2 linked regions of the Coturnix japonica genome follow. The protein of the gene in region 2 binds, or shares a complex with, the protein of the main gene of each other region. Links are inferred from orthologs where the notes say so. Each region holds a gene or a part of one and is shown on either strand. Other genes may lie near its edges.

Region 1 (3,651 bases), on a different chromosome or scaffold from region 2:
ATTCATCACTTCACACAGCTTAATTGTGTGGGAAGAGTACCAAGGACAATAGCAATGAAAGAAGAACAGACTAAGGTACGCATATAGGCATACACACATATACAAATGTGGCATAATTTTCACACATAAAAATATTTGCTAATTTTTATTTCCTGCTTCAGGAAATAGATTTCAGGCCACACCCCTGGTCCCTTTATGATAAATCTCCTCAGTGTAACATTCTTCACACACAGTGGTCTTCTCAAAGACTAGGTGGCAGATGACAGAGGAAGACTGATTAATAACACACTGAGGCAGGAATTAGCAAAAAATTGATCCTTTGCATCCCTATACATTTACTTGTGGATGCCCAGGATTCAGTCCGATGGAAGGTAAAATCAGCTCATTTCCTTCAGCACAAACCATGCACATTTCTGCAAGGCGTGAGTTAAGTACAGAGTTTAGTGGTTACTGGTACAGCAAACTAAGTTAAGGTGCAATAAATGCAAAGAGAAATGGATGGAGAGGGACAAAGATGGAGCCCAAGATCTAAATGCCAGGTTTGCGTGTATGCCAGCTGCTCTGCAGCACGGGAGAGAGAGAGAGGCAAACAAATACGTACCAGGTTTAATTTCCAGCAGCTTCAGCCTGGAATCCTCGGGAGGATGCAAACGCCTCTTTTTGCGCCAGCAACGTGCCGGGTATGTGTACAGCTGACCTGGGGCCAGGCCTGAAAATTAAAGGCAAGAAATAAAACATAATCACATTTCAGTCTGTAAACCACAAAGCACTGTCTCTAGCATCTTTTCCCTTGTCCTTTCAGCATCTCTTGTCAGAGGATTCAATCCTGCAAATTGTGAGGCAGAACTATGCTCTCAAGGCATCCAGCACTCCGGTGGTTCCTTGGCACCTCTAGGGATCAGGCCTACAGAGAATCTAGGTCTCACTCATACACTTCACTCAGCTCACTGAAACCAGAGCTGCACATAAATAATTTGTGATTCCTTCAGGGTAAATAGAATTTCAAGCTCTCTTGGGTCATGGGGTGATGTCTCCTCCATGGGCAGAGAAAGCGCCTTGGGAGAGAAGAGATGAAGTTCCGACACACAAATCATAAGGCCCTGGTATGCAGACCACCTCAGAAAATGTCTTCTAAGTGGAAGCAAACAAAAAATCCATGAGGTCTAGCTATTGGAATTCTGTATTTTCACTTAAATTCTGGAGTTCTGTTTAAAAACACCCTCATGCCCACGTCCTGAATGAGGGAGGAAATATGGCAGTAATGTTTATATTACTGCATGCTCCATTGATTCACATTTGGTGCTGCTGGCCTCTGAGCTGCCCTGGCTCTCATGATAGGCATCCCTTAGCCAATGCTCAAGCTATGCTTTGTTCTCGTGTATTCAGGACGCAGCAGGGCCCTGTGAATGCATTGCTACTAAGAACACAAAAGCACACTGCCAAGTTACTGCCCCAGTTACCCTTGATACCCAACAAGATTCAGAAATGCTGGAAGAATGTTGTTCTAGCCCCCGATTCCCCTGACCAATCTGTCTGCCACTTCTGCTTTTAGTCTTCTGCCTTCTGCTGTTAGTCTTGAAGGGGCTACAGAGCACAACTGAAGTTCCAAACCTACTGCCCCCAGAAAACAAGACAGAAAAGAAGACAGCAGTAATATTACCATATCTGAAATTGTACCACCAGTAAACAGATGGACATCATTTAGGCAGCACGAGTAAAGCAAAATAGCTCAAGATCAGCAGGATGGCTGAAATGCTTGCTCTCTGACATTCCCTCTGAAACAGCCTGGAGAGCATATAAGCTCAGGAACAAAACTGATTCATTGAGCCAAATGCAGACAACAAAAAAACAAAAACAATGAAACACAACAAATTTATTCACCTTTTCACCTCAAGGGAATGGGCTAATCATGTTCTACAAGCTCTTGGCTTGAAATAGTTGAGCTGTTGGGAATGCCAACAGTGTTCAGACTTCAACGATTTCCACCTGCTCCCTGGCCTTGGTGCGTAAATGGAACATCTACATCATACTGCCTGGGTATGGCCAAAAGATGGAATGAATGCTCACAGAGGTCCTGGCTGCCTCGGGTCACAGGGCATGCCTGGGGCTTTCCACACCCTTTTGTCGCTGCACAGATTCCTAGGCATTACGCCCAACACAAGAAGGATGCATCTTAGTGAGCAGCACATGTGACTGGTTTGAGAATAAAATGTGAATAACCAGTACTTCTACAGTGCTTGACACACTTCTTCGTGGCACTTTGCAAACATTAACCACTGCAAACAATTGCTATTATGGTGGTGTGGATTGTGCCTGCTCTGATGTGAGTCATTAAAGAGGTGGAGGCAAGATGCCCCACCCTTTCACAGTAGGTTCTGTTCAAAAATTTGCTCACAGCATTGAAAAGTGGGGTTGTTAGACTAAAGAAACAGGACAGAGAATGAGCCTTGCATTGCACAGACCTCCAGAGAGGAGTCCTTTGAATTAAGTGGGCACCACAGCTTTGAACATTTGTCCCAGACAGAGAAAAGCAAGGATCCACTGCAGTTTGGGGGTAACATCTGTTAACATGGGTTCAATTATTGTGAATTCACATATGAATTGGCAGTTCTAGACTCAGCTGAGACAACAAATGCCAAGTGCAAATGATGAAAGGCCAATGAGAAACACAGCAGGTATCTTTGAATAGATGAAAGTAGAGAATTCTCCTCCCTAGGGGAAATGCAGCCCACTCCGGGTGGCAGAAAGGCTCTACAGTTCCTCCAACACCAACACCCAAGGTTGTGGAGCTTTTTGTTTCCATTTGCCTGTAGACAGGATTTCAGGTCAGGAACACTAAATGAGAGTGAATCTGGCATACAAGACAAATACCAAGAAGGCTGGCAGAGAATTTCTGGAGATGTTCAAGTCTCTCTATTCCTTTTTTCAATATCCTTGCTCATTAATGCACAGCCATCCAGTGAACTAAGACAGATATCAAACTTTATCTTGATTCAAACTCATCAGATACCATCTTCAGTCCTCTGCCCTGATACCTATCTGTCTCCATACTGCCTCACGTGAAGCATGGACCGTCAACTGCTTACACAGAGGAGAAGCAATAATAAAAGGCTCTGTTCTGAACAGAATCTAGCCCCGGCACTGCTGATCTTGCAGGGAATATAGAAATAACACTTATGCACATCTTGTCTTTAGTCGTAGCTGAGCTGCATCTCCCTCTGGGGCCTTATAGGGCAACCAGAGAAGGTTCCAACCATTTGCTTATAGAGGAAATAGCAGAACCTGCAGTGAGTTATGTTGTTTATCTCATTAGTGTAGGAGAGTCATAACTCAGAGCTCCTGTGAAAGGCTGGGGGAGGAGGAGAGAAGAGGGAGGGAGTTATGTGCAGTATTGTGTGAAATTAACCCTGAACTGTTTATCATGAAGTGCAGTTTTCTGACTCCCTTAACAAAGAGGACAGTGAGAAACCAGGTTAATACACTGAGATCCCAACTCTCCTCTGTTTTTCAAACTCTCTGTAAAAGAAAATGGTTCCTGGATCTTTGCCATTTGTCTTTATACAGTTTTTCAGGTTACAGATAGTAAATGGCAATGAACATAGCCACCTTAGTATCCATCTTGTGTGCTGGTAACAAATTTTTGAAGATGTT
Region 2 (3,651 bases):
GACACTGCAGTCCAGACATCTGACAACACGTGTATATTTCCTCTCTACAGCTGAAACAATTGCTTTACCATCCTTACAATACTGCCTTTTATTTGTAATTTACCATTTTTGGGAAGCACCACTTCTTCTATGTTAGGGACCGGTGTGGGATCCTCCATGTCCTTCGTAAGATCTTCTTGCTCATCTTCCTCCTTCTGCCCCCTCCTTTTCCCGTATATGGTTGCTTGTCTGAAAGAGATCATACACAAACCCTCCGACAGCTGCAACTGTCAGATGCATTCACCTTGATGTTCTCCTTCAGCAGACAGCAGATTAAAGGGCTGGCTTAAAACTCTTCAGGGAGAACAGCGCAGTAGGAGGCGGTGCTTGTGGAGTTAACAAAAACCAGGACCTGTGCATTACTACAATCATTTAGAAGGGCACCAGAGAGTCATTTTTGCAGCCTAACGATTCAGAACCGTCTCTTGGTTTCATATAAAGGATGGTCTTTTGCCATTGAATCTGGACTGCAGGACACTGCTGTCTCATCCTGACTGCAGCAGCACCTCCATGCCCATGAGATTTGGGGCAGCAGCGCTTTGCCTCTACTCCTCCTTTTCCAAGCTGCAATAAGGACATCTGCTGCACGGAACACAAGAGGCAACAGACCATTGCAAGGCCTGCTGCCTCATCTAAGGAACAAGCTGCCTTTATGGTCATTTCCACAACCAGATAAAGTCCCGCTGGGAACAAAGGTAGAATCACCCAGGCCCCAGCTTACAGAAGTTAAGCCAGACTTCACATCAGGGAAAAACCAGCAAGGATCAGTCCTTTATCTGACCATCTCATCTCAGACAGCAGACTTCCAGCACTGTCTGTCACTTCATGTTTTAAGAGCCCCACAGCACTGCTAAAGCAGCTCTGCATTTTTAACCACAGAACGGCCTGGGCTGCACAGGCCCACAATGCTCATCTCATCTCAACCCCCTGCTCTGTGCAGGGTTACCAACCAGCAGCCCAGACTGCCCAGAGCCACATCCAATTAAACACAGTGATCCCAGTGGCTCCCCTTCAGAACATACACGAGTAGCACTGCTTGAGCTGCCTTCAGCTACTTTAGAAGCACCTGAGAAAGTTTTCCTTAAGTTCTGCAGTCAGTGCAGCACCACGACCTGCTGCTGAGGAAGACAACATCAGGACCTGCACAGATTCTCCTCCACCCACAGGCAATGCACTTCCACACAGGAGCAAAGAAATGACCAGCACAAACCTGGCCTAGAGATAATGATTCTACCCTGACCCCAGGTGTGAAAAGCAACCTCAGACAGGGCTGCCCATAGGCACAGCTTCAAGAACATCAGCCCCAGCCTCCCTGAAGGAAACACTCACCCTTTCTTCCCTGATTTTTTTCTTGACTCCACAGGAGTGGGGGGTGGAGAAGGAGAATGCTTCCTCTTCCGTGTGCTGGCTGCTGCTTTCCTGTCCCTCCTCTCAGGACTGCGCACAGGCTGCAAGAGAAACGAAGGCGTCAGCTCATCCCCAGTACCACAGTTATTGAAATGCTGCAGGCTAGTCTTCCTTATTACACCTTACAACAAAGGAGCTGAAAGCAGCATTGCAGTGAAGGCCATCCTCAGCTCCAAACACACGTTTGTCAAGGTGAAATAATATAAGTTTTTTTATAACCATCCCCTGGATATTGCAGGAGCTGCCTACGTAACTGTGCGCCTCGAGCAGGACTCAGCAGCTAATACATGATACACTCAATGTACTCTACCTGTCAGGAAGGTTCTCCTGACCTCGAGGTTAAATGAACACTCTCAGAGCTCTATCAAACCTTCAGCATCAGGAAGAACATGAAATGAGGGTATGTGGAAATGAATGGATGCCGTCCAACGCACCCCTGCTTTCATTTAAAGAAAGTACAAAGCGAGTCACTTCTATTGTCACCTTTGGGAAGGGACATAGGAATAATAAAAGGGAACAACAGTTTTGGATAAATGGCACATCAGGGGGAATCCAAACTAAGCTGTACTACCACAGGTGCCTGAATGCATCCAGCTTGATTGAATTGCAGTGGCTTTTGCAGAGAGAGGGAATATTAACACACCACCAGGTCACACAGGGAGCTGAGAGCCACCTACCTCTTCATTCTTCATGGAGATTCTCTGCCGAAAACTCACAGATTTCCTGTTCTCATCCACCTCATAATCCTCTTCATTCATCCATTCGTTGAATATATCTGTGTCCAAAATCCACTTGGCATGAACCTAAAGAACAGAAATGAGGGACGCCAGGCTGAGTGGTGCGGTTGATACAGCAGAATGAAGGGATGCCATGCAGAGGGACCTTAACAAACTCCAAAGGTGGGCCCATGTGAACCTAACGAGGATCGACACAGCAAAGTGCAAGGTGTTATGCATGGGTCTGAGGAGTCACAGACACAGACTGCGAGAAGAGCTCCTTGAGAGCAGCCCAGCTGAGAAGGACCTGGGGGTCCTGAGGGTGAAAAACTGACCACGAGCCAGCAGTGTGTGCTTGTAGCTTGGAAAGTAAATGGGATCCTGGGCTCCATCAGCAGAGGGGTGGCCAGCAGGGACAGGGAAAGGATCGTCCCTCTCTGCTCTGCTCTCGGGAGGCCCCATCTGCAGTGCTGCGTCCAGAGCTGGGGCCCCCAATACAGGAAAGACAGGGAGCTGTTGGAGAGGGTCCAGAGGAGGCCACAAAGATGCTCAGAGGCTGCAGCACCTCCACGACAAAGACAGGCTGAGGGAGCTGGGCTTGTTCAGCATGGAGAAGAGAAGGGAAGGCTGCGGGGTGAGCTCAGTGCAGCCTGCCAGTATTTAAAGGGAGGTTATGAGAAGGAGGGAAACCAACTTTTTGCAAGCATAAATAGTGACAAGACAATGGGGAATGGTTTTAAACCAGAGAAGATTTAGATTAGTCGTCAGGGAGAAGTTTTTCCACAGACAGAGTGGGGAGGTGCTGGAACAGCTGCCCAGAGGGGCTGTGGATGCCCCATCCATCCATGGAGGTGTTGAAGGCCAGGCTGGATGGGGCCCTGGACAGTCTAATCCAATACTTGATGCAGTGCTTGCAGCCCTGCCTGCAGCAGGGGGTTGGACCTTGGTGATTCTTGATGTCCCTTCCAACCCAAGGCAGCCTTTCATTCTATGATGGTTCTAGGAACATACTGACATGGTGCTTTTTGCAAGTAGTCTCTTGTCAACAGACCTTGCTATTAGGATCTGAAGTTACACATCTCACAGGACTTTTATACATATGAAGTGACAGTTCCATGAGGCCATGCTATACAGGCTGGACGTGCTGTAAGCCTGCTGAATGCCATGTCTGCTCCTCTGTCATTTTAAGTCATCTCAAGTGTGAGGTCAGCTCTCACAGCTGGGGCAATGGCTCTGCATTAAAAGCACACTTCAGACACCGAAATTCCTCCCAGAATCCAGCAAGTATGACACAGATTGATTTATACACAAAAAGCTTAAGTCCCATTTACTTACAAGCAGCAGTTTGGAATAGGGAGTGTCTGAACAGGCATCACATGGAGTTATTTTCTGACCTGAGCTGCCCTTTCCTAACTCTGCTATTCACATTAACAGCACAGATACAGAACAACACTGCATGTGATGCATAAAAGAGTAAGTCCAATAATAG

The links. The genes of interacting proteins can lie anywhere in the genome.
Region 1: SMARCC1 (region 2) and DPF3 share a complex: the UniProt entries of both Homo sapiens proteins name them as parts of the BAF complex. The link is inferred for Coturnix japonica from reciprocal best matches to the Homo sapiens genes SMARCC1 and DPF3.

Annotation. Positions count from the first base shown.
Region 1 is NC_029520.1:23,822,859-23,826,509, reverse strand, and holds part of DPF3 (zinc finger protein DPF3), read right to left. Parts: intron 710-3,651; coding exon 602-709; intron 1-601. UniProt on the Homo sapiens protein: Belongs to the neuron-specific chromatin remodeling complex (nBAF complex).
Region 2 is NC_029517.1:713,267-716,917, reverse strand, and holds part of SMARCC1 (SWI/SNF complex subunit SMARCC1), read right to left. Parts: intron 2,250-3,651; coding exon 2,124-2,249; intron 1,488-2,123; coding exon 1,369-1,487; intron 229-1,368; coding exon 104-228; intron 1-103. UniProt on the Homo sapiens protein: Involved in transcriptional activation and repression of select genes by chromatin remodeling (alteration of DNA-nucleosome topology).